7 linked regions of the Sus scrofa genome follow. The protein of the gene in region 2 purifies or fractionates together with the protein of the main gene of each other region. This does not show direct contact. Links are inferred from orthologs where the notes say so. Each region holds a gene or a part of one and is shown on either strand. Other genes may lie near its edges.

What was found.
Region 1: the proteins of PPP1CA (region 2) and YLPM1 purify together in Homo sapiens (affinity purification with mass spectrometry; 3 studies listed by BioGRID and IntAct, counting the BioPlex papers as one, with this or other methods). This does not show direct contact. The link is inferred for Sus scrofa from reciprocal best matches to the Homo sapiens genes PPP1CA and YLPM1.
Region 3: the proteins of PPP1CA (region 2) and PFDN6 purify together in Homo sapiens (affinity purification with mass spectrometry; 3 studies listed by BioGRID and IntAct, with this or other methods). This does not show direct contact. The link is inferred for Sus scrofa from reciprocal best matches to the Homo sapiens genes PPP1CA and PFDN6.
Region 4: the proteins of PPP1CA (region 2) and KIF18A purify together in Homo sapiens (affinity purification with mass spectrometry; 3 studies listed by BioGRID and IntAct, counting the BioPlex papers as one, with this or other methods). This does not show direct contact. The link is inferred for Sus scrofa from reciprocal best matches to the Homo sapiens genes PPP1CA and KIF18A.
Region 5: the proteins of PPP1CA (region 2) and CCDC85C purify together in Homo sapiens (affinity purification with mass spectrometry; 4 studies listed by BioGRID and IntAct, counting the BioPlex papers as one, with this or other methods). This does not show direct contact. The link is inferred for Sus scrofa from reciprocal best matches to the Homo sapiens genes PPP1CA and CCDC85C.
Region 6: the proteins of PPP1CA (region 2) and ERBIN purify together in Homo sapiens (affinity purification with mass spectrometry; 3 studies listed by BioGRID and IntAct, counting the BioPlex papers as one, with this or other methods). This does not show direct contact. The link is inferred for Sus scrofa from reciprocal best matches to the Homo sapiens genes PPP1CA and ERBIN.
Region 7: the proteins of PPP1CA (region 2) and WDR92 purify together in Homo sapiens (affinity purification with mass spectrometry; 6 studies listed by BioGRID and IntAct, counting the BioPlex papers as one, with this or other methods). This does not show direct contact. The link is inferred for Sus scrofa from reciprocal best matches to the Homo sapiens genes PPP1CA and DNAAF10.

The regions. Positions count from the first base shown.
Region 1 is NC_010449.5:98,017,629-98,021,128, reverse strand, and holds part of YLPM1 (YLP motif-containing protein 1), read right to left. Parts: coding exon 3,420-3,500; intron 3,311-3,419; coding exon 3,218-3,310; intron 2,989-3,217; coding exon 2,793-2,988; intron 2,310-2,792; coding exon 2,191-2,309; intron 1,296-2,190; coding exon 1,141-1,295; intron 1-1,140. UniProt on the Homo sapiens protein: Plays a role in the reduction of telomerase activity during differentiation of embryonic stem cells by binding to the core promoter of TERT and controlling its down-regulation.
Region 2 is NC_010444.4:5,118,888-5,123,001, forward strand, and holds the start of PPP1CA (serine/threonine-protein phosphatase PP1-alpha catalytic subunit), read left to right. Parts: upstream 1-1,314; 5' UTR 1,315-1,349; coding exon 1,350-1,404; intron 1,405-1,900; coding exon 1,901-2,032; intron 2,033-2,163; coding exon 2,164-2,394; intron 2,395-2,992; coding exon 2,993-3,097; intron 3,098-3,488; coding exon 3,489-3,712; intron 3,713-3,794; coding exon 3,795-3,929; intron 3,930-4,012; coding exon 4,013-4,114. UniProt on the Homo sapiens protein: Protein phosphatase that associates with over 200 regulatory proteins to form highly specific holoenzymes which dephosphorylate hundreds of biological targets.
Region 3 is NC_010449.5:29,652,399-29,655,445, reverse strand, and holds PFDN6 (prefoldin subunit 6), read right to left. Parts: upstream 1,755-3,047; intron 1,748-1,754; exon of another isoform or gene 1,605-1,747; coding exon of another isoform or gene 1,523-1,604; coding exon 1,459-1,522; intron 1,263-1,458; coding exon 1,192-1,262; intron 1,110-1,191; coding exon 985-1,109; intron 732-984; coding exon 602-731; 3' UTR 501-601; downstream 1-500. Other genes in the region: WDR46 (WD repeat-containing protein 46), read left to right, coding at 2,066-2,266, 2,362-2,577, 2,687-2,767, 2,898-3,010. UniProt on the Homo sapiens protein: Binds specifically to cytosolic chaperonin (c-CPN) and transfers target proteins to it. Binds to nascent polypeptide chain and promotes folding in an environment in which there are many competing pathways for nonnative proteins.
Region 4 is NC_010444.4:32,261,073-32,264,572, forward strand, and holds part of KIF18A (kinesin-like protein KIF18A), read left to right. Parts: intron 1-91; coding exon 92-196; intron 197-614; coding exon 615-725; intron 726-1,784; coding exon 1,785-1,982; intron 1,983-3,500.
Region 5 is NC_010449.5:120,517,409-120,520,908, reverse strand, and holds part of CCDC85C (coiled-coil domain-containing protein 85C), read left to right. Parts: intron 1-1,799; coding exon 1,800-1,895; intron 1,896-2,659; coding exon 2,660-2,758; intron 2,759-3,443; coding exon 3,444-3,500. UniProt on the Homo sapiens protein: May play a role in cell-cell adhesion and epithelium development through its interaction with proteins of the beta-catenin family. May play an important role in cortical development, especially in the maintenance of radial glia.
Region 6 is NC_010458.4:44,414,602-44,418,788, forward strand, and holds the start of ERBIN (erbin), read left to right. Parts: upstream 1-1,387; 5' UTR 1,388-1,525; intron 1,526-4,187. UniProt on the Homo sapiens protein: Acts as an adapter for the receptor ERBB2, in epithelia. By binding the unphosphorylated 'Tyr-1248' of receptor ERBB2, it may contribute to stabilize this unphosphorylated state.
Region 7 is NC_010445.4:74,091,633-74,095,132, forward strand, and holds part of WDR92 (WD repeat-containing protein 92), read left to right. Parts: intron 1-1,595; coding exon 1,596-1,696; intron 1,697-3,500. UniProt on the Homo sapiens protein: Key assembly factor specifically required for the stability of axonemal dynein heavy chains in cytoplasm.

The sequences.
Region 1 (3,500 bases), on a different chromosome or scaffold from region 2:
GAACAATTCAAGAATGAAATTAAGCTATCTATATCAATGATAAGATGGGAGTGGATGAAACAATCCAATTCAAAAGTAGAAATTATCAGACTGTATTAAAAATATGATCCTACCATACGCTGTCTATAGGAGACATACTTTATTATTATTTTAAAAAATCTTTTTTTGGCTGTGCCCATGGCATGGAGAAGTTCCCCGGCCAAGGACCAAACCCACACCACAGCGGCAACCTGAGCCACAGCAGTGACAATGCCCGCTGAGCCGTCAAGGAACTCCAGAAAACATACTTTTGATTTAAAGACACAAATAGATTGAAAGCAAAAGGACAGGAGTTCCCGTCATGGCTCAGTGGTTAACGAATCCGACTAGGAACCATTAGGTTGCAGGTTCAATCCCTGGCCTTGTTCAGTGGGTTAAGGATCCGGTGTTGCCATGAGCTGTGGTTTAGGTCTCAGACATGGCTTGGATCTGGTATTGCTGTGGCTATGGCACAGGCTAGTTGCTACAGCTCTGATCAGATCCCTAGCCTGGGAACCTCCATATGCCACAGGAGTAGCCCAAGAAAAGGCAAAAAGACAAAAAAAAAAAAAAAAAAAAGAAAGTAAAAGGACAGAAAAAGATACATGAGCCATCACAGAAAGCTAGAGGAGCTACTAATCTAACAGTGACATTATATACATACAGTCAAAACATCTGATAGAAATCTCCAGTACTAGTTCATTTAAATGGAATCTAGTTATTTGCAATATAAGCTAAATTTAAAATATACATTTGGAGATCACTAGGAAAAATAAGTCTAAACTTATCAGATCCCCTAGTTCTGACTCTTTCACTTTCACATACCATAAAACCAAATCCTCTTTTCCCCTTTTCAAAGTTTAATTAATCGAGTTGCTAATGAATTATTTTCTGAAGTTTTCAACATTCTTTTTTTTTGTCAAGCAATTAAGCTCTAATTTCTTAGATTCTATAGGGAAGGCAGTATGTGAGATTTTATGATGACTTGGAGATGGTAAAATGCCTTGAATCTGATATTACTATTATGTCACAGAAAAGTATAGAAATTCTGTTTAGGATATTAAAACAATTCCTTATCAGCTTCTGATTTGCAAGTAAACGAGTCAACTACACAGGACTCACTCTCTCAGGTCTGCTCTCTCGGCCAGGTGGTTTCAAAATATCATCTACATTCTTAGATTCAGGTTTCTTCTCAACCCGTGGAGCTGGAGGTGGCTGGTGGCTTAGTGAAGGAGCTGGCAGGGGCATTCGCTCCTCTGGGTAAGTTCTTCGTTCTCCTGGGATTCCAGCAGTTGAACAATTACTATTTATGTAGTAACTATTTAAAATTTTAACCCATTCTACTCCTCCTAATATAATTTATGATGATTTGAGGGCTACTTTTATCCTTAATTAAAGATAGTTTAAGATAACATAAATCTACTGAAATCAAGAAAATGAAAAGATTTAGGTATGATTTCACACAAAAAGAATATTCTGAAAAGTATTGAATTCATCCTCATTTGTATTAAAAGTTAAGAAAAAAAGTTAAACAATAGAATATAGAAAAATGATATATCCTCTTAAATAGTCCCAAGTATGATTCAGAGTCCACCTGTATGTAACTTCTGCTTTACAGTTTTGAGAATGAGTCACCAGCTTAGGAAAGCTTGTTCATATAGACAGGTATAAATATATAGTTTAAGTGTAATTTATAGCAATGAAAAACTAAAAGCGACCTCAACAAAAAAAAGTCTTTTATCTTATCCACTTGATGGACTATCATAGTCATTAATATAATAGGTTTCCATATGGAGAAAAGTAATAGTACAATACCAATAGGGAACAGGGATGATAAAGAAACTATACTTTGGTTATAACTTCATTAATATGTATGTGAAGAGAGAATGACAGGAAATATACAAAATTATAATAATTGTGGTATGGTAGCTATGTAGTAGGTTTATAAGTGATTTTGTTTCTATCTTCCAAAAGGTCTTTAATAATATTTAAAAAAGCAGTTTATGTTTTATTTCATCAATTACATGGCTATTTTTGGTGATAATGTTGCCAACTCTGAGAAATCTTTAAGTGCATTTTACTCTGAAAGTTTAAATCCACAGGCAAAATGGAAAGTATCTCCTGTTGTTCACAGTTTTCAGCATCCTTATAGTTAACAAGGCACCAATCTACCTCCAAACATGGACGGTCCTTCATAGGCTGGTCGGTCAGACTTCCGATCATAGGATGGCCTATCAAATCCCCCTCTTCTGGATGAGGAATGTTCTTTTTTGTCTCGATACGACTGAGTCCTAGAAGGTTTAACAGAAGTGCTTTGGTTAATAAAAAATACACGGATATCTCTTATAATGCAATAGCATTACCTGTCCAGTTTTCTCTACATGTAGTTACTATACATAGTCAATATTTACATTTTTATTTTTCTTTCCCGTTTAGATCTGCCTTTCATATACAAATCCAAAAAGCTCACACAACTGCAAAAATAAATTGTCTACTAATTAAGCAATGACTACAACTTTATGCTGACAATACTCTTTCCTTTCCTTTCTGGCTATCTCCATCTCCCATTTAATTCTCTGGATTTCAAGCTCACAAAACTCAAGTTTTCTAGTTTCCTGAAAATTAGTATAGAACTACTCTTCCCTCTCCAAATTATACACACACGTATAAAAAGAATCTATCATTTACTAAATTCCCTGCAGATACACTGACTTTTGCTGAACTGTAGTACATGGTAATTTGCACACCCAGCAAAGGTATTTTTCATAGCATACCTATCATCTCGCGGTCGGCGTTCTCTGTCAAATCGATCCCGGTCATAGTCAATAACACCACGATCCCGGTCTCGATCTCTATGTGTCTCCCGATCCCTTTTGAAATCCCGATGATCTGTCATGACATTACTTTGACGATCAAAATAAGGCTCACGATCTCTGTCTCTATCATAGCGATCACGTTGGCCCGCATGCTCTATAAAAACGATTAGTATAAAATAAGAACTATATAGCTTTTTTTCTGAAATAAAAGCAGAAAAGTACAAATCTAAATTTAGAACTAGTATAAACTGCTGCCCTAAATCCAATTTATGAATCTTGCAGCTATACTAAAGGGAGGCGCAGACAATACTACCAAAAGGAAAAGTCATATGACAATTAGGCCCTAATAGGTTTAGAAATACTGATCTCTTTGGGACTCTAACCTGTTTCAAAAGTTGATCTTTCAGGTAGTGGCTCTGGACGCAGAGTTATTCTTTCTCCATAGGGTATCTGCTCAACTTTATTAGTGGATATGTCTGATAAAATCAGGGATAAAACACTGTTAACAGTAACGCTTAAGGAAGCCAAAGCTTAAGCTAACAATTCCTTTAGAATCCCAGATAGAAATCTGCCACCTTGACTCACCTCGGCCATGGCCATAATCAACAGTCTGCTGCACTGGTGGTGGTTTGGACATTGGTGGCATACCCATAGGCATCGGGCCAG
Region 2 (4,114 bases):
GCAACGCCAGATCTGAGCTGTGTCTGTGACCAACACCACCGCTCACGGCAGCGCCGGATCCTTAACCCACTGAGCAAAGCCAGGGATCAAACCCGCAACCTCATGATTCCTAGTTGGATTCATTTCCGCTGCGCCACAATGGGAACTCTGAGAATTACGGTTTATTGAATGTTTGCTCTTCACGAAATAACATTTTTCACATGCGCACAATGTAGCTTAATTATGCTACTCAAAAGGCAATGATAAAACATAAAAAAAAAAAAAAAAAAACAGGGAGTTCCCCATCGTGGTACAGTGGAAACGAATCGGACTAGGAACCATGGAGTTTCAGGTTTGATCCCTGGCCTCGCTCAGTGGGTTAAGGATCTGGTGTTGCTATGGCTGTGGTGTAGGCTGGCAGCTGTAGCTCTGATTGGACTCCTGGCCTGGGAACCTCCATATGCCGTGGGTGTGGTCCTAAAAAGGACAAAAAGACAATAAATAAATAAATACATAGATAGGAGTTCTTTCTGTGGTGCAGCGGATTAGTGGTATGGCTTGTCTCTGTAGAGGCGCTGGTTCAGCATTGCTGCATCTGTGGCATAGGTCGCAGCTCCAGCCTGGATTCAGTCCCTGGCCCAGGAACTTCCACGTGCAGCTGAGAAAGAAAAAAAAAATTAACCGCTAATTCAGCTTGCATCACAGGCACTGTGGACCAAAATGGGCTTGGAGTTTAGTGACAGGTTTCTAGGTCTGGTCAGTCACCTGGGGGCCACAGAGACTCCGGAGGTAGAGGCCCTTGAATTAGGTCCAGGTCTTGGACCAACCCTTTGCTATCTCTGTGCACTTCAAGGACTTGATCGGCAGTATTTGGGGAGACCCAATGAGTTACCGATGAGCTCACACCAACTTCCCGCCCAGGGCGGAGGTGAGAAGGACTGCGTAGCCCTTAAAAGAGAAAAACAACTTCCACAGCACTTCCTGTCCCATATTCTCTGGAAAGGGGTGGCCAACTTCTCATAGGCAGAACTAGACTCGACCTCGCCCCTCGAAGCCCCGCCCACCAAGAGGCTCCGCCCCAGAGATGGGCGTTCCGTCCGAGTCCCGCCCCGTGACTGAGGCCCCGCCCCCCGGGCCGCTTGGGCCTCTGCGCCCGGCGTCCGGCGGAGGCGCTAGAGCGCTGGGGCAGCGGACGGGGCGGGGCGGGGCGGGGCGACGAGGGGCGGAGCGGGCGGCCGAGGAGGCGGGGCGGCGGGCCGGGGCGGGCCGGGCCGGGCCGGGCGGAAGGAGAGCCAGGCCGGAAGGAGGCAGCGGGAGGGTGGGAGGCAGGAGCGGGCCCGGAGCTGCTGGGCCAGAGCGGCGGCGCCGCCATGTCCGACAGCGAGAAGCTCAACCTGGACTCTATCATCGGGCGCCTGCTGGAAGGTTGGCCGGGGCGGGGGAGGTGGGCGCCCGCCGCGCCCTGGCCCCCTTCCCGGCCCGGAAGTGGCGCGCGGGTGGACCTGCCCCTCCCAGGGCCAGCTTAGACTGGGCGGGGACGGGCCGCGAGGTCCCGTGGCCGTGGCTCTCCCCGCCAAATCGCGGCGCGCCTGGAGGTCTGGGGTTGTTCCCCGCGCTGGAACAGGGCCGGGGCGCATGGGTCGGCCTGGGCTCTTGGGGTGAGGGAGAAACCCGAGAAGCCTAGCCACCCGGGAAGGGGTCCTGCGCTATCAGGCTTTGGGTGGTAGGGCCCCTGCGCACAGCAGTCCCCTCCCAAGTGCCTTGAGGGTAGTTGGGGTCCGGTCCCAGGAGGCTCAGCAGCAACAGCTGCCTCTGGGCAAGGAGGGGCCCAGGCGCCCCAGAAGTGCTCATGAGGGCCTGTGTGTCACCCACCCTCTCCTAGTCTCAGGGACCAGGGTCCTGACGCTCCTTCCACCCTCAGTGCAGGGCTCGCGGCCTGGAAAGAATGTACAGCTGACAGAGAACGAGATCCGTGGTCTGTGCCTCAAATCCCGGGAGATTTTCCTGAGCCAGCCCATCCTTCTGGAGCTGGAGGCACCCCTCAAGATCTGCGGTGAGCCCCCTGCCCAGCCCCTTTGCTTCCTGGAAGTGGTTTTGGCCCCTCTAAAGTCCCTGGATCCCAGCCTTATCCCTGGGTTCAGGTTTAGACTGAACCTAGACCTGACCTGGTTCCCTGGGTCCCAGGTGACATCCACGGCCAGTACTATGACCTTCTGCGGCTGTTCGAGTACGGCGGCTTCCCTCCAGAGAGCAACTACCTGTTCCTGGGGGACTACGTGGACCGGGGCAAGCAGTCTTTGGAGACCATCTGCCTGCTGCTGGCCTATAAGATCAAGTACCCGGAGAACTTCTTCCTGCTCCGTGGGAACCACGAGTGTGCCAGCATCAACCGCATCTATGGCTTCTACGATGAGTGTAAGTGCCATGGGTGTCTGGGGCTGCCCGGGTCCTAAAGGGCTCTCCTGGCCATTCAGAGGGACCCTCGAGTTGGCCTGGCAGCTGGGGTATCAGTGTCTGACAAATACCTGCTAGACTGAGCTCCGTGAAGGCAGGGCCGGGCCAGGCCAGTTCAGGTCTCTCCACCTGCCCTCCTGGCATGGGTCCTGGCACTCAGGAGGGATCTGGTGAATGGGTGCTGGCTGCAGGGCTGCCCGTATTCTAATAAGGGCCTTGCCCAGTGACACTCCCCTCCAGCGCATCCGTTACTTAAGCACTTAGGCTGCCTGTCTGGACTGGACTCTGTTTGCCAGAAGCAGAGATAAACAGACCTGGTCTTGGCCTGGCCCTGCTCATGTGCTGCAGGTGGGTGCCAACCCTGAGGTTGTTCCAGAACTGGAATGCTGGGGTTCCTGGAAAGCTGGTAGGCAGTGGGATGGGTTTCCCTTCCTTGCCCTCTCTGCTTCCCTCCCAGCTGTGTCTGAACAGCACATGATGTGCCCTGCAAGGCCCAGGGACCCCGGCTGAAGGTGGGGCAGCCAGGCCTTCTCACGAGCCACCTCCTTCCTCTGGGCAGGCAAGAGACGCTACAACATCAAGCTGTGGAAAACCTTCACTGACTGCTTCAACTGCCTGCCTATCGCTGCCATTGTGGACGAGAAGATCTTTTGCTGCCACGGAGGTGAGAGCAGCTCTGGGGCCCGCGCTGGAGGAGTGCTTGGGAGGGACGAGCCTGGCCCCATCCCGGGGGGCTTGGGGACAAAGGCATCAGCTGCAACAGTTCTCCCCCGAGTCGTTTCTTCCATGAAGTCCCCCCGCACCCTCATGTCAGGCTGTGCTGTCAGGTCGTGGCCACAGCTTCACACGTGGAGTTTGTCTCCTTTCTCCAAGGAGCCCTGTGCTCCTTGAAGAAACAGGGGCTACGAGAGGCAGAAGGTGGCGAGGTCTGCCTGTCATGGCTCCCAGGAGACCACGGAGGGGTGGGGACAGAGGCTGATCGGCAAGGCTTCCCGGAGGAGGCAGGGGCCTCGTTTTGAGGCTCAAGGAAGTGATCTACCTCCTGTGCTCCCCAGGCCTGTCCCCCGACCTGCAGTCCATGGAGCAGATTCGGCGTATCATGCGGCCCACAGACGTGCCTGACCAGGGCTTACTGTGTGACCTGCTGTGGTCTGACCCCGACAAGGACGTGCAGGGCTGGGGCGAGAATGACCGCGGCGTCTCCTTTACCTTTGGAGCGGAGGTGGTGGCCAAGTTCCTGCACAAGCACGACTTGGATCTCATCTGCCGGGCACACCAGGTGGGCTGGCGGCGCTGGGCTGGGCTGGGCTGGGGCGGGGCAGCCGGCACCTGCTGAACTAACTGCCCCCACCCTCACCCAGGTGGTAGAAGATGGCTACGAGTTCTTTGCCAAGAGGCAGCTGGTGACACTCTTCTCAGCTCCTAACTACTGCGGCGAGTTTGACAACGCAGGCGCCATGATGAGCGTGGACGAGACGCTCATGTGCTCCTTCCAGGTGGGCAGGGGGCCGGAAGGGGCCGGAAGGGGCCGGGGGCCTTTGGCCTGGCCCCATGAACCTGACTGGCTTGTTTCTTGTAGATCCTCAAGCCCGCCGACAAGAACAAGGGGAAATATGGGCAGTTCAGTGGCCTGAATCCTGGAGGCCGGCCCATCACCCCACCCCGCAACTCCGCCAAAGCC
Region 3 (3,047 bases), on a different chromosome or scaffold from region 2:
TTGAGGACAAAGAAACGGAAGAACAACATTGTGGACAACGTATAAACATGGAGGACGTATGATATCAGAGCGTTAGGTGTTGAGATTTTAAATCAGTTTAAGCTACATTCAAGCAAATTCTAAGAAAAAAAGACTAAAACGAATTAGAGGGATGCCAGGGCTATTTTGAAGATGATGGGAAATCAGCAGGGAGGGTCCCCATGTTTCATTCTGGGGTCACAGCTTAGAAAATTCTGAGTTCAATTAAACTCACTTTACCCAAAACCACTGCATTGCAAATGCCCTTCTCATGTTTCCAACCAGGATAATGGAGACCTAAGGGCTGCATATACAGGAAAAATGAGATTTGAGATATTTCATATTTCAGTCTCAATAAAGAAGGCTTACTCGGCCTCAGAGTGCCCAGTTGCAAGAGTCTGGACCTGAGGGAGTCACAGAAGCGATAAACATATAAGGGGAGAAGGGACCAGGGGAAAAGGTGGAGATGATTACAACAGAAGTGGCTGGTGAGAAAACAGCCAGGTGTTTTCACATTTTATTCACTACAGTAGAGACCCTTGAGCTGCCTCATTCCCACCCCCTCCCTCCCCCCTCCACAGGGTCAGGCCTTCCCAGGAGCCCCTGCCTTGGCTGCCTGGGCCCGCTGGAACTCCTGCTGCAGCTGAGCCAGGGTCTCCCTCTGTTGCTCTGACTGGCGCTCCAGTTCCCGGAGTTGGGATTCGTATCGCTTACTGAGGAAGACAGAACACCAAAAACGGTGAGGTCTTAATGAGACTTACTGCTGAGGATGCTGAAGGCAGGAAGGAGATTGGTGGGGAACGTGAGATCCAAGGGAGGGAGGAGAAGAGGGGTTAAAAGGAAAGCGGCTGGAGGAACTGGGTGGTGGTGGTGGTGGGAACAGCTCTGGAAGCTACTCTACAAGGCTTTCTCAACACGTCTTCCACCGTGGCATGTCTGTCAGAAGGTGCTGGAACAAAGACTCACATTTCAGCTGTGATGTAGTCCAGCCTTTTCCCCACTGTGGCTCGAGCCTCTCCCAGCTCCTGTTTGACCAGCACGGGACCCAGAAGTTTAAAGACCACGTTGGATCCATCCAGCAGGGCCAGTTCCTGATGGAGGGGCAGGACATCTGTGATCAGAAACATTGCCAGGACAAGTTCCCTCCTCGCCCCACAAATCCTGTGCTCTCACCTCCTTCACGATATTATTTTCTGTTAGTTGTGCTTCTAGTTTCTGCCTCCCTGACATGGACTTACTCAAGTCTGGCGGGTGGGAGGGAAGACTTGATTAAAGACATCAGATATGCCACCCAATCCCTACCGTCCTGGTGAGAAATGGAGCGACAAGGACGGGAACACCATGGAGGTGGGGAAGGGGCACGGGTGGGATGGAGAGGGGCAGGACGCATCTTGTAAGGCTTCGGGTAGTGAGAGAACCGGGACAACCCCGTTCCCCTACCCTTCTGTAGCTGTTGATATTTCTCCACTTCTCCCTGTAGCTTCTTCTGGATCAGCTCAGCCATGGCGAGGACGAAACTCCGCGGGAAGAGGGAGAGGGGCGCTGGGTTGCACACTCTGGAAGGTACCCGAGCTCCCCTTTCCGGCCTGCGGAAATGACAGCCCTCTTGAGAAGCAGCCCCTCGGGGCACCGCAGTCTCCCCCCGTCCGAGATATCGACTCCACCCCTGCTCTAGGCGGCAGCGGGGGAAAAGAGACCCCAGAGCCCTCAACCGAACGCCTGCTCTATCTACTCACGTTCTTCTTTCAGTGTTGGTGAACCCGGAAGTAAACAGAGAATGCTGGGAAGAGACGGCGCCGGAAGCTCTCGTCTGACGCATGCCGGGAACTGTAGTTCTCACTTGTTAGACGAGTGGCGTTTTTCTAAAAGGCTGGACTCGGAACGTTCTAGGCAACATGCGGAAACGAAGCTGGAAAAAGGAACTGCACAGTCAACTTGAGTCCTGGCTCCGGACCACCTCTCTTTCATTACTCAAGCATAAACTGCCTCACGGGGGCGGGGCCAAGGTCTGCCCCCCACCTCACTGGAGAGAGCGCCCTCACCCAAGATGGCGCCTCGAGGGCTTCGAACCTGGGGCGGAGCTGATTGGATGAGGGCCGGAAGACTTCCGGGAGTTTTCAATCCGACTGTGGGACAGCTGAGAGGAGTTTGCACGTGTGTCGCGGTTCGGGTGGGCTTGATGGAGACAGCCCCCAAGCCTGGCAGTGATGTCCCGCCCAAGAAGGACAGACTTCAGGCCAAGAGAAAGGTAGAGACCTCCTTGGGTTGAAAGGAAAGTTTTTGGCTGAGGGGTTGGAGGGGCGGGGAGGAGGCAGCGGAATATCAGGGGTCCTGATCTGCCAGCAGAAACCTCGGCGATACTGGGAGGAAGAGACCGCTCCGACAGCTGCCGGAGCCTCTCCGGGTCCCCCTCGTAAACAGAAGAAGAATCGAGAGGCCCGCCCTCAGAAGCCAAAGAACGCTCCCATCCAAAAGAAGTCTCGGTTCCCCAAGAAGCCCCAGGTCCCAAAGAAATCCCAAGAATGGAGGAGTCCAGGCCCTCAGCGGAGCTTGTCTGGGGTGAGCCTGGGACCTTATACGGTGGCGAGGCAAGTCTCCTCGTGCTTTGAGGGTACGAGAGTTGGGATCAACCCGAGCCTGTTTACTAATTGCCCCATTCCTGTCCCAGGCCCAGGACCCGTTTGCAGGCCCCGCCCCTGTCCCTGTGGAGGTAGTTCGAAAGTTCCGTCGCATCGACAAATCCAAAAAGGTGAGAACCGGTCGGAGAGTGGGGAGGAGTTGCAGGCAGGGAGTGTCTGGGTGAGCTGGATGGAGGCGCGGTCAGGTGGCTCTCCTGTAACCCCCATACTCGCCCATTCCTCTCCCACCAATGATTGTAGCTGCCCCGTTCCAAGTCCAAAGCCCAAAGCCGGCTTGATGCTGCTGAAGCTGAGGAAGAGGAAATAAGCGTCAAAGCTGCTCGTTCTGAGCTGCTGCTGGCTGAGGAACCTGGGTAAGTGGACCGTAATGTGGGCCTCCCCAGCTCCTGG
Region 4 (3,500 bases), about 27 Mb from region 2:
TAAAATTCTGATATAACCTTTAATCAGCAATGTGTGCATGTGTGTGTGTGCCTATCACTGTTGTTTCAACATTAGTTCTTTTTATTTCAAGGTCTATAATGAACAGATTCGTGACCTCTTAGTAAATTCAGGGCCACTTGCTGTCCGGGAAGATGCCCAAAAAGGGGTAGTCGTTCAAGGGTTGACTTTACATCAGGTATGTTTATAAACTTCTTTTTTGCTGTTCAGATAGCAAGTTATTTAGCCATTTAGATATTTTAAAATAAGCGTAGAATTAAAATAATCAGGGCATATCTTCAGTCTTATTTTCCTTTGAAATAGTTGAATGGGCTTTTCTTTTTAAAATCCACTTGAACATTTAATATAGTATATTATTCTATTTAATATATTTACAGTTTATCTCCTCAGAGAGATTAATCTTTTGTTTTTCATATAGCACCAAAGTACTAAGCAAATGATACACAGTCAATACTTAATGGAATTTAATTATAAGAAGTATTTTCTTACCCTTTATTTTATCCTTAAAAGGCTTCTTATTTGTTGATAATTTATTTAAAAATTTAAAGATCAATAGCTCATTTATTTATTTTTCTTTTACTTTAAAACTTCTTTAGCCTAAATCCTCAGAGGAAATTTTGCAGTTGTTGGATAATGGAAACAGAAACAGGACACAGCATCCCACTGATATGAATGCTACATCTTCTCGTTCTCATGCTGTTTTCCAGGTAACAGGTCACTAGACTATCACTCTTAAAATTGAATTTAAAATAAATGAAGCCATATGTTCGGATGATAATTTTCACAAATACAAAACAAAATCTCTTTATCTGTCAACTTTATTTCTCAGCACTTCCTTTACTTTGCAGCTTTGAGAACATTGTATCAAGAATATTTAGAAATGAGATTTTTGTAAGTCAGAAATGTAAAATTTTGCCATTGTGAAAGTAAAAGATAGTAAAGTGATTGTTAGAGGTTTTCTTTTCTATTTTTTAAAGTATCTTTCCAAAAGATAATCTTATATTCAGAACAAACTTTCTCTTTATAGATCTAGATTTATAGACAGTAAATTGAGGTGGGGGGGGATACTGATGCACTTTTTAAAGAAATTTCACCATGGTGACCATGTAAATAGTTGGATTCCTTAAGGAAATATGTGATTCAGTGATAAAGTGCTTTTTAGGAATACAGTTCTAGAAAAGGCTAAAGCATAGGTTAGTAGTTATTATTTATAGTTCCTGGTTCTGTTGAAATACAATTGATAATACAGCTTTATTCTGGATTATGCTATGTGAAACTCATAGCAAGAAATTGTTATAGTTTAAGGAATTGAAATCTGAGGCAATAAGTCATTCAGAAAATTTTCCCATAAAATTTTATTAATCAGTCCCACAGAATTTTATTAATCTTTTCTATTCTTACCACTGACTATTTATCAGTAATTTTGAGAAAAATGCTTATCTGGAACACAGAGATTTCCCCAAAATGTCGTAGACCCTACAGTATAAGAGTTACTAGAATGTAAGTGGCCGTCATTTTGACCAGAGCCAGGAGTTATTCGCCCTCTTATACACCTACAGGAATCCTTTTCATTTTCAAATTTTTCTCAACTTTGGTAATTACTTCTGGTACTCTTAGATATTAGCCAGTCAGGTTATACCTTGTTCAGTTTGTCTTTAAATGAAAATAATTGGTTTCCTGCTTTTTAAAAAATAAAGTGTATGTTTCCCTTTTAATTTTGTGAAATCTAATCCTTATTTTCCCTAATCTTCCATAATTTCAAAAAGATTTATTTGAGACAACAAGATAAAACAGCAAGTATCAATCAAAATGTCCGAATTGCCAAGATGTCGCTCATTGATCTAGCAGGGTCTGAGAGAGCCAGTTCTACTAGTGCTAAAGGGACCCGGTTTATAGAAGGCACGAATATTAATCGATCACTTTTAGCTCTTGGGAATGTTATCAATGCCTTAGCAGATACAAAGGTAGGTAATATATGTTTATTTGTTTAAATATTTTGAAATATTGAAATACGTATAATTCCTAGACAGATATTATGTAAGATAATTTTGTTTTAAATGTCTTTTACAAGAGTTCCTGCTGTGACACAGTGGGTTAAGAATGAGTGCGTCAGCTTGGGTAACTGCTGAGACATGGGTTCAATCCCCAGCCCACCACAGTGGGTTAAAGATCTGATGGTGCCGCAGCTGCAGTGTAAGTCACAGCTGGGGCTTGGATTCAGTCCCTGGCCCAGGAACCTCCATATGCCATGGGTGCAGCCATAGAATTTTTTTTTTCTTTTGTCTTTTTTAGGGCCTCTGGATCCAAGCAGCATCTGCGACCTACACCACAGATCACTGCAACGCCGGATCCTTAACCCACTGAGAAAGGCCAGGGATTGAACCTGCATCCTCATGGATACTAGTTGGGTTCATGCCACTGTGCCATGATGGGAACTCCTAGAATTTTTTTTTTTAAAGGTCTCTTACAAATCAGATTTTAAGAATATAGCAATAATGTTTATATACAGAGCATTGACCTCAGAGAGCCTAGTATATAAATAAAGCTATGGAGTTTTTATGTTTGTTTTATTTTAACTTCTAGTTTTAGGATCAGAATTTATTGAATGAAAAGTATTGAATACCATATTGTTAATATTTTATGGTACTTTCTCACCTTTTATTTTGAATTTGATTTTTAAATGACCATTTAATGATCACTATACAGCAAACATGATGAATTGGTATGAAAACAAAAAACACATTTTAGAAAAATTTAATTCTGGTCTGGTTAGTATTTTATATACATATTATAAAATTAAATATTAAAGAGTGTTGATTTTTCTTAGGAAGACAAGTTTAAGATATAAAATGTAATTAAATCACGTAATAAGATAATGTTTGCTAGATGCCTTTGGGGCATTTAAAAATATTTTACTTCTGGCATGGCAGAAACAAATCCAACTAGGAACCATGAGGTTGTGGGTTTGATCCCTAGCCTCGCTCAGTAGGTTAAGGATCTGGCATTGCCGTGAGCTGTGGTGTAGGTCACAGACGCAGCTCAGATCCTGCGTTGGTATGGCTATGGCATAGGCCAGCAGCCATAGCTCTGACTGGACCTGTAGCCTGGGACCCTCCAGATGCCGAGGGTGTGGCCCTAAAAAGCAAAAAAATTTACTTCTACTATATGCCAGTTTGCTTACTAGAATATAGCATATTTGAAAACTCCTGTGTTTATAAAAATGACTTCCTTTTTTAAAAGTTAAAATATGATCATTTAATTTATGTTCAAACCAGACTCAAAAACTTTAGGAAAATTACTGTTAAATTCTTTAAAATGCTGCATTTGGGTTTAGTATGAAGTATGTTAAAATTTTTTGGAAAGTCTTTCTTAAAAGGGAAATTGCTGAAATCACATGAAGATTACAAAAGCAAAATGTATTTTGTATTCTAAGTTAAAATCTGAAACATGTAAACAGACAGCATGGCATAGAGACAGATTTC
Region 5 (3,500 bases), on a different chromosome or scaffold from region 2:
TCATGGTTCCTAGTCGGATTCGTAAACCACTGTGCCACGACGGGAACTCCCAGCGCCCTTCTTTACTAGCTGGTTGGCCTTGGGCGAGTTGCGCAGTGTCCCCGTCCTCATCTGTAAAATGGGCCCATAGAGAGATGGCGTCCGCGCCTAGGGTCGTAACCTGCCCCCTTAGGCCGCTCTTCTCCTGGCGGGTGCTTTGCAGGCTGTGCTCTGCCACCCCCACCACGGGATGCCTGCAGGGCTGAGCTGGGTTTGGAAAAGGCCCTAAGGGTACAGTCTTGGCCAGTGTCCAGTGGTGGCTTCCCTTATAGGGTCCTGAGACCACGCTCATTTGCTCCGTCCACCCAGTGAGGCCGGCCAGCAAACGGTTGCACCATCTACCCCGGCCACGTGCAGTTCCTGCCTGCCTTTGCTGCAGGAATCAGCCCTCCTTACAGAGCAGGCGGTGCTGGGAGCGCCGGGTGCAGACAGGACCTGAGGCCAGAGGTGCCTGGGCCAGCCGCCTTCCTGGGCTCTGTGTGTGTGGATGTCGCCCCCTGCTGGCCTGTGCGGGGAGGGCAGCCTTCTGCCATAGGGCGCACACCTGTATGTGGCCTGACCCCCCAGAACCCAGTTTGGTTCCCCGACATGACACACCGGCCTGGGCACCAGAGATCAGGTGGCCTGGGCCAGAGTCAGGAAGACAGCAGCCCAGGTCTCTGTGCACACCCGGGACACAGGGACCTGAGGGGCGGAGTGGACCGGGCCTGCCCCCAGAGCCTTGCCCAAGCCAGCTCTCCCGGACCCCAGGGCTGCAGGCCTCTGTGTGGAGCCAGAGCAGGCTGAGCCTGCGAGGGCCCAGGAGCAGGGCCAGGGCACCCTGGCTGGTGAGAAGAGTGCAGAGGTTGGCCGCTGGCAGCAAAAGATGCCAGGCACCGAGGGTCCCTGTGCAGGGTGGCCCAGCTGGGCAGGCTCCCAGGGCAGTGGCCTCATTGGCCTGATCACTGGAGGGGCCTTCAGGGCCCACTGACTGAGAAGGAAACTGAGACTCAGGGCTGCAAAGGGGCCCAAGGATGCTCCCCCTGCTCATGTACCCCCTGGGCCGCTCCTGGTGTTTTCTCTCCGCTTCCAGCACCACCGGCTGGTTGCCCTCAGGCCACTCCTGGCATCTCGCGTCCTGCTGGCCCCGGGGCTCCATCTAGCTCCTCAGGCGTGAGCTCTTTCATGTGGCCTTGGTCCCTTCTTGACCTTGCTCAGGGGCCGGTTCCGCTGCAGCCCCAGCCGAAAGCCCTGCCTCCTGCCCTGTGGCCACCTGGGCCAGTGCCCCTTGGGGAGGAGCTGGGTGGACACTTGGCCTCTGACACAGGTGGCAGGGAGCCAGGAAGCTGGATCCCTTCCTCTCCCGGCCCCCGTCTCCTGGCCCCCAGGCTGATGTGGGAGCCGGGCACCTAGTTGCCAGTTAGACTGCAGGATGAGGCAGCAGTCCCCAGACAGGGAGGCTCAGGGCCGGAAGCCCCAGGAATGCCCGGGGTGGAGCCTAGGGGACGGGGAGGGGGCTTAGGAGTCAGGCCCAGGCCGTCTGTATCATCCTAGGTGAGCTGCAGAGGAGGTGACAGACCTTCCAAGCAGGTGAGAGACCTTCCACGTGTGCCAGGCTGTGCAGAGGAGCCTGCGGGATGGGGTGCTGCCCCTCGGCCCCCATGGTCTCTGGCCTGGGCCCCGGCCCCACGGACCCAAGGATCCCTCCCAGCTGCTGGTCGCACCTGTGGCTGCCACCTGGGAGCCAGCCAGGGTGAGCTAAGACATGGTTCTGCCCACAGGGCCCCGCCTGCCCTGTTCCCGAGCTGTCCTCGCCGCCCTCCGCCGGCTACAGCGCCGCAGGACAGAAGCCCGAGGCTGTGGTGCACGCGATGAAGGTGAGGGCCAGGCCCTGCCCGGTTCCCGCTCCCTCCGGGGCCCCCAGGTCCCTGGCACTTCAGGACCCTGTGACCTAGGACCCCGCTTGCCCTCTCTGCAGGCAGCTGGGGGACTTTGGTCCAGTGGCCGTGGCTGCCTGGAGTGTGGGGTGGGGGTTGGGAGGCGGGGTGGTGGCTGCGTCACCCCTGCAGCCAGGGAGCTGAGGCCTGGGGCAGGTGGGGAGGACAGGTGCTCCTGGAGTGGGGGTGGGGCAGGATGGCCGGGATGGAAGCTCGGGTCTCCCAGGCCCAGCTCTCCCTGCCCCCCTCCTGCTCAGGGCCTTGGGGTGCACCCTGGGGCCTGTCCACTGAGGTGCCCCCATCCCTACCCCCCTAGCAGGGACACAGGCACGTGGTTCCCCGCAGGCAGCCCGCTCGCTGTGCCTGGCAGGTGGCAACTGGACACCCCCCCCCCATGTGCATGTGCCAGCCTGTCCTGAGTCCCAAGTGGGGTCCCGGGTTTGGAGTGCAACAGCGGTCCCCACCCCGCCTGTCCACCTGCTCTGCCCCCAGTGCCAATGTGGGCCGCCGCTTCCCTTGCGTGGTGTCTACGGTGTCACTGGGCCGAGGCGACAGGACAACCGGGCCCTCAGGCCTCTCCAGCCCCCGATCCCAGGGCCCCGCGGCTAGGCGTCCACCACTGCCCCTTGTGGTGGGGGAAGCTGGGGCCTTGCCCGAGGCCTGCCTGTGACCTCTGCCCCTGACCCTGGGGCCGCCCCCTGCAGGTCCTGGAGGTACATGAGAACCTGGACCGGCAGCTCCAGGACAGCTGCGAGGAGGACCTGAGCGAGAAGGAGAAGGCCATTGTCCGCGAGATGTGCAACGTGAGGCGCCTCCTGGGGCCGGGGCCGGGGTGACCGGGCGAGTCCCAGTGTGGCCACAACCCCCCTGGGAGGTGACCCGGGGGGCTGGGAGCCCGGGCCTCGCTCCTCCCCTCCCCCACTTCCCCTCCCCCCTTTCCTCCCTGCTCCCTGGTCTTGTTTGCCCTGTGTATCCTGACCCTTGGTCCCTGTCCCCTGTGCTCTGCTGGCTCCTGGCACACAGGTGGTGCCCAGACTGCGGTGCAGGCGGAACCCTCAGCTCTGCGGGACCCTCCTGGCCGTGGCTGCCTTGGCCTTTGGCAGCTGGGCTGCCTCTGGGTCTCTGGGGAGGTGGCGCCTGGATCTGGGACCCACCTGGCCAGTGCGCCTTGCCTCGTGGGACCCTTGTGGGAGTCAGCAGGGGAGGTGGTTCACGGGGCTGCCCCCTGGGGCGGGGTATCCCCCCGCTGCTGCCTCCTGGGTCTGTAGGGCCCACTGGACAGCTTCGGGCCCAAGTCTGCACCCTCGAGGTGCCAGCTCAGTCGCCTTGGGGTGGGAGGCACGGTGCGGAGGGCGCACGTGCAAAGACCCGGTCTGAGGGTCTCCAGGTGTCATGTGGCCTCAGTGTCCCCTCCTGGCCCCTGGCTCTGGGGACACCCTGGGCGGGTGCAGGGTGGACCCTCCATTCCCAGCTTGCCCCTCCCCACAGGTGGTCTGGAGAAAACTGGGGGATGCCGCCAGCTCCAAGCCCTCCATCCGGCAGCAC
Region 6 (4,187 bases), on a different chromosome or scaffold from region 2:
CAGCTCACGGCAACGCCGGATCGTTAACCCACTGAGCAAGGCAGGGACCGAACCCGCAACCTCATGGTTCCTAGTCGGATTCGTTAACCACTGCGCCACGACGGAAACTCCAAGGACTCTCTTCTTCCAGGCTGGGCGCAGGGCAGCCGGGATCGACTTCGCCCGCATCCCCACCTTGGGCGGCTGGGGAGCAGCACGCAGGCCTCCCGGGCCTGGGCCAGAGCTGGCCTCACGCCGGACCTAGCTCGCGAACCCCCGGCCGCCGGCCCCGCCTCCCGGGCCCCCAAGACTATCACCCCCCGCTGCCGCCGCCGCCCCCCGCCGCCACCGACGTCGGCCCGCACCGCCCCCGCGCGCGGTGACTGGCTCGCGCCGGCCTCCAGCCCGGCTGTTGGAGGTTGGGGCGAAGCGGGCGGGAGGCCGCCCCGCCCCCGCCGCGGAGCCGCCGCCGCGCGCAGCCTCTTCCCCCCTCGCCGCCGGGGCGGTGGCGCTGTTGCCTCCGCGGCCTGTGAGGCAGTAACTCCCCTCCGCCCCAGCCCCCTTCCTCCTCCTTTCTCTCCGCTCCCTCCCTCCCCTCCCCTCCCCTCCCCTCCCCGCCCCTCGCAGTCTCTCGCTCGAGTGAATGTGGCGCGGCGGCGCGGGACGCAGTCTCGGCCCCTGCCGCGGCCCCGCGAGCTTGTGAGGAGACGAAGCCGCCGCCTGCCCCCACCCCCTGCGCTTCCCGGGGGAGCCACCGCCGCCAGGGAAGAAGAACGAGGAGGGGAGCGAGGGGACGGTGGCGGGAAAACAGGAGGGGGAGGAGAAGAGGGCTCGAGGGCAGGGAAGGAAGGCGGGGAGGGACGTACGGAAGGACGGACAGCCCGACGGCCGGCCGGGGGAGGGGGCCGCCATCGAGCCTGCCCGGCCCCTCGGCTCGGGCTCCGGGCGGCCGCGGCTGCGGCCGCGCGGGCGAAGGGCGCGGCAGGCGCTACCGAGACAATAACCCCGCCGCCCGGCTCCGGGGGTGGCGGCGAGGAGGCGGCGGCGGCCTAGCGCGGCAGAGGCTCTCCCAGCGCCCCGGTGGCATCTTTGCCCCCGCGGGCCAGGTTCGCCTGCCGTCGGATATCGGGGCGCGCGGGTCGCCCGGAGTCCCAGGCTCTCGGCTGACGCCCCCTGCCCTCCCCCGCCCGACGCGCGTGGAGCTGGTTTTCCGGGTTCCCCTGGACCGAGCTGGATCCTGCTGCTCGCCAAGGCAGGAAGTGAGTTTCGCACGGTAATTCCGGGCGGTGTCACGAGTGAAAAGTTTTTTTTTCGACGGAGATCCTAGTTGGGGCTGGGAAACTCCTGCAAAACTCGAGACCAGGAAGCCAGCCCGCTTCCCAACCCCCACCGGAGCCACCTACTCTTCCTACTGCGGGAGGCCACTCCACATCCGCTCTCACCGGAGAGAGAAATTCGGCTGGATCCGAAGTGACTAATGAAGGGGAGGAAATCATGTCAGGCGAAGCCTTGAAAAAGCTGTCCTGAGACACTGCCCGACCGAAAGGTAATTTTCACCCAAAGTGTCTGCGAGTCACAAAGCTCCCCGGCCAGGAAAGAGAGGAAACTTTAGTGTTTTCCACTTTTTCTCAAGTTGCCCTAAATTCTCCCTCTCTCCTGTCGGACGGGGTAGTGATTTAGGTGCAAAGCAGTAGAACTGATTTTATTCTCCTTTCTACCATCTGGACCCTGGTCATTTTAGAAGAGGTTGTAAGAATGCGGTGGGACGAAAAGTTTTAAGCAATTCCGAGGAAAGAATGCCTTTGTTCAGCAGAAGGTCCAGAAATCTTAGTTTCCCGGAACATATACAATGTATGTTTTTGATTTATTAAGTTGCTGAACCTGACAACTTTTGTTTTGGATGAAAGTTAGGTCACTGCGGCGAGCAATCGGCTGCTGTTGAGATGGCTGCCACAGTATTTGTTTATACTGTTACCGATTATTTTGCTTTTGCATTTAAATGTATATGGAGTTATTTAGTTCCAACTCTTATGACTGTGTTTCATTGGGTTTTATAAACAAAAAACTCTTTGCCGTTCTTAGTCGTTTTTTCAGGTGGGTAATATATATGTCTTCAGTAACTTGTTCTTTTCGGACATTTATAACTTTATAATACTTGTTTGGTGTTGTCTACAAGCTACTGTCTACAAGATTTTTCTTGTAACTGACCTAGTAGGGAGAAAAAGTGTTACGGCTAAAGAGTGATGATTAAAAAGCAAACATGAATGCCTGTAAGTGGTTTGATTTGTTAGGACTTCTGTGCAATTCGGAACTGAATGTATAGGAAAGGAAGTAAAACGCTTAAAACAGTGTTCATGGGCATCACAGTGATTGTGATAAATAGCTGTGCTTTTTGGTTAGCACATTATTTACATTTTTTTGTTGTTGTTGGCCCAAATGTTTTGACCGGGTCTGCCACCTAATAAGTGATGAGTATCTGCTGTGGGGGCAGGGATTAAGTGAAGCACGGTGACATTCCACCAGTCAGTTATAAATATAAACACTTCTGAACCAGTCGGTAGTCTTTATAGATCAAACTAGTTTTGGTTGCTGCAGACACAGACGGTTTCTTCTGTGGTGTTTTTAATGAGTGTCTTTTTAAGTTTGGTTCCCCCCCCCCCGTGCTTTTTTGGTAAAGGGAGGTAAAAGATAAACTCTGCTCTTGAATAAATGTCAAATAAACGTGGTATTTTGTTTGTAGATATATCTTAAATGTAAATTAATATTTATTTGCCCTTGCCACCACAAGAAAAATGGTTGGCTTTCTTTAGTTCCAAAAAGAGACAAGGTAGGTTTTAAACAGTAGGTTCAAATAATTTCACAACTTTTTCTTTGTTACTTCAAATTAAGTATGTTTCAAAAAGGGGGTCTTTTAACTATTACTATATATTGTTTTGATTTTTTTTTTTCTTGGAGCTTAGTCTCTGGAGCTCCTTTTTAAAAACAATTTTGTAGTTTTTTAAATTGTTGGTAAGATTTTGTGAACCATCAAGTAATTCCTATTAAGTGAAAGTAGCTTTATCAAATAATTTAAAGTATGTAAGTGATCTACTTTATGATTTTAGAACTTAAAATTAGGCAACGAAAGAGGTTATTCTTGGGCATCTGAAAGAGGGGAACAAAATAAATGGCATTGAACTTCGGTTTCCTTATATGGTTTATACTTGGCTTCAGAGCAACAAAGCCTTAATAGAGCAAGTCTTTTATAGAGAATTATCACTTTGCGAAAGTGTTCCTTTCTCTGTGTTAGGAAATTTTACTTGAAAGAAGTATTATAGTCCTCAAAAATACCTATTTAAATGCCTGTTGTTAGATATAGCTCTTGATTTTTTTTCTTGAGGGAGCATAGTATGTATAGATGCAGACAACATGTTTTAAAAGATGTTCACCTTTGTAGTTGTCTTTGATTCCTTTTTCCCCTCAACAAGGCAAAATTTACTTTGAGGTTTATTTATTTTATTAGTTTAGCACTGGATTAACTTAATGAATTTTAGGTTTTATACTGTTGTCAAACTGTAAATATTTTTCAAAGTTTTGTTTAAAATTTGACAGTGGTTTGAAAATAAGTTTAAAAAATGGTCATAAAAATATTTTAAAATGGCTTCAAATTTTGGATATTTTTCTTAGTATTCTGTGGGTTTTTTAGATTAAATTCACAAATCTGGAGTACTTCCAAGGTGTTTGTAGAAAATGCGCACTTGATGGCCCTGTTTGTTAAAGGTACTGGGAGTTTTCAAAAGTGATAAACTTAATCTTTCAACTAATTAATTCAGATATTATGAAGTTTCCCTACTGTTTGTGAACAAATTATTGCCAACTTTTCATGTATAAAAAGCTTACAGAGGTTCCAATATGGGAACCAATTTTTTATTGCTTGTTTTTTCTTCATGAAGCAATAACTACAGTTAGAGACATTTGATGTGTATCATTGGTAAATGTCTAAAACTCAGGTATTTTAGAGATTTTGGTAGTGAGCTCATGGCAGTAAACAGTACCTCACTTTAAGAGACAAGAATTTCAGAAAATTAAGTGCATATTTATGCATTTATTTTAAATTATTGCCTGTAGATAAATATGGTAGTGATTATGAAGTATTTGGGATTCTGTAGGTTTTAGTGATGTTAGATAGGAAAGTATTTTTTTTTTTTTTTTTTTGTAATTTCTAGTTG
Region 7 (3,500 bases), on a different chromosome or scaffold from region 2:
AACATAGCATCCATTCTGCAGCCCATGGAGCAAGGAGTAATTTCAACTTTTAAGCAATACATCTTATAAGGCTGTAGCTGCCATAGGTAGTGATTCCTCTGATGGATCTGGACAAAGTCAATTGAAAACCTTCTGGAAAGGATTCTAGATGCTGTTAAGAACATTCATGATTCATGGAAGGAGGTCAAAATATCAACATAAACAGGAGTTCGGAAGAAGTTACTTCTAACCCTCATGAATGAGTTTGAGAGGTTCAGGACTTTAGTGGGGGAAGTAACTACAGTTGTGGAAATAACAAGAGAGCTAGAATTAGAATTGGAGCCTAAAGATGTGACGGAATTGCTGACATCTCATGATAGAACATTAATAAGAAAGTGGTTCTGGGAGTTCCCATTGTAGCCCAGCAGGTTAAGAACCCAGCATTGTCCCTGTGAGAATGTGGGTTCGATTCCTGGCCTCGCTCAGTGTATTAAATATTTGATATTGCCGTAGCTGTGGTGTAGGCCACAGCTGCAGCTCCGATTAGACCTCTTGCCTGGAAACTTATATATGCCACAGGAGCAGCTGTAAAAACAAAAAAAGAAAGTGGTTTCTTGAGATAGAATCTACTCCTGGTGAAGATGCTGTGGGATTGATGAAATGACAGTGAAGGATTTAGATAGAATATTACATAAATTTAGTTGATAAAACAGGGCTAGGGAGGACTGCCTCCAATTTCGAAAGAAGTTCTAATGTGGGTAAAATGCTGCCTGTGTGAGAGTCAGTCAAAATAGCAAACTTCACTATTGCCTTACTTTAAGAAAATTGCTGCAGCCACCCAAGCCTTTAGCAACCACTGCCCTGATCAGTCAGCAGCCATTAACATCAAGGCAAGACCCTCCACCAGCAAAGATATTATGACTTGCTGAAGGTTCAGATAATGGTTAGCATTGTTTAGCCGTACAGTGTTTTTTTAATTAAGGTACGTATTTTTTTTTTTCAGATGTAATGTTGTTGCATGCTTAACAGACTACAGTATAGTGTAAACATAACTGTTACATGCACTGAGAAACTAAAGACTTCCTGTGACTTACTTTATTGCAGTTTGCTTCCTTGTGGTGGTCTGAAACCCAACTTGCAGTATCTCCAAGGTGCCTGAACTTTTATATTATTTTATATATTTATTTTGCCTTTTCTAGGGCCGCTCCCTCGGCATATGGAGGTTCCCAGGCTAGGGGTCTAATCGGAGCTGTAGCCTCTGGCCTATGTTAGGGCTGCAGCAACTCGGGATCCGAGCCGAGTCTGCCACCTACACCACAGCTCACAGCAACGTGGGATCCTTAACCCACTGAGCAAGGCCAGGGATTGAACCCACAACCTCATGGTTCCTAGTCGGATTCGTTAACCACTGTGCCATGACAGGAACTCCCCTGCCTGAACTTTTAAATTGTATAAAAGTGACTAAAGGAAAAGCATGATAATTTTTATCAGACAATGTTTTAATTGCCTTTTTTATTGTGTGCCTATTTAATTCCTGTAATAGAGCCATAAATATCATGGATTATAAATAGCTGCTTACATAAATAATGTATCCTCTCTCCCTCTCTTCTCTCAAGATTGAAAAGGCCAAACCCATTAAATGTGGAACATTTGGTGCAACATCTTTACAGCAGAGATATTTAGCTACTGGGGATTTTGCTGGAAACCTTCATATATGGTAAGATTATTTCATCAGTGTTGAGACATGAGATAAGCAATTTCTTTGATAGTCTAGTTATTCTTCCTCTGAAAGAATTCTAATTTTAAAATGTTTCAAATTTACCAGATTTTAAACTTTAACTGTTTATAAGAATGACAATTACTTTTCAATATCTATTTTTAGATTTCATGTTTAAAATCCATTTTAAGACACTAGCATATTTATCTTTAGATATTTCAAATGATGTTATTAGTATTTATTTCCATCCATGCTATTTAATGCTAGCATTTAATACCCATATTTGTAAATAAAGGGCTATTCCTCTTCAGCATGAAGGATGCAGTATATAAAAATGCTCACATGGGAGTTCCCATCATGGCACAGCAGAAATGAATCTGACTAGGAACCATGAGGACACAGGTTCGATCCCTGGCCTCACTCAGTGGGTTAAGGATCCGGTGTTGTCGTGAGCTATGGTGTAAGTGGCAGCTGCAGCTCTGATTTGACCCCTGGCCTGGGAACCTCCATATGCCGTGGGTGCGGCCCTAAAAAAGGCAAAAAAAAAAAAAAAAAAAAGAAGCTAAAAAAGCTCAAATGTAACACTGAAAAATTAGATATTGTTTACATTTTAAGATGATATTTGGCATTACAGAATGATACACTGTATTTTTGTATGTTTTAATTTTTTCCTCCAATTCATTAAATTTTTTTTCCTTTTTTTTATGTTTTAGCTAACATCTGAGCACAGCTTTTTAGGAACACATCTGTTGAGTAAATCAAGATAAACCTGTTTTGAATGAGCAAAATCACAATTGTGCCAGTTGCTTTTAATTTTCATGTTTTACATAGAGTTATTTCCTCATTTTTAAATGAGTTGAATGAACTGAAATTCCTCTCATTACTTTTGAAGAAAATCTCTTAAATCATTTAAAGTATGCAGTAATTTTTTGGAAGAACTATCTTCCCTACCTTATGTTTTCTATTGTGACCTTTCTTGATTCTAACTTAGAATCTATTACTTTGTAATTAAACTACTTTGACATATTTATCTGTCTTAAAGTCATAGTATAACAAGAATGGAACGATTTTCCTTCCCTATGCTTTAACTACTTAAAAGTTAAGTTAGCATTTATTAGGATGCATTCGTTTTTACCTGTTTGGTCATATACTTTCAAAGAACTTGGGAGAGAGAGCAGTCTGAGTGGTTTGGTTTGTTTTGTTTTGTTTTTGGGTGTGCCCGTGGCATGTGGCAGTTCCTGGACCAGGGATCAAACTCGCACCACAGCAGTGACCCAGGCCACTGCAGGGATGCTGGATTCTTAACTCCGCTGAACCACAGTGGAACTCCTGGGTGTTATTTATTTATTTATTTATTTATTTTGGTTTTTTGGCTTTTCTGGGGCCGCTCCCGCAGCACATGGAGGTTCCCAGGTCAGAGGTCGAATCGAAGCTGTAGCTGCCGGCCTACCCCAGAGGTCAGAGGTTGAATCGAAGCTGTAGCTGCCGGCCTACCCCAGAGCCACAGCAAGGTGGGATCCGAGCCACCTCCGCAACCCACACTACAGCCCACGGCAACTCCGGATCCTCAACCCACTGAGCAAGGGCAGGGACTGAACCCACAACCTCATGGTTCCTAGTTGGAATTCGCTAACCACTGCACCACAACGGGAACTCCCTGGGTGTTATTTTTTAAAATAAATATATTTTAGCACAAGAATATGCAGCAGATATAACTATTGACTCTCTTGCTAATAGAGCTTCCTAGGATAGTGCAGGTATTACTGTCTTACTTTCATTGGTAAGTCATAAGCTCACATGAAAA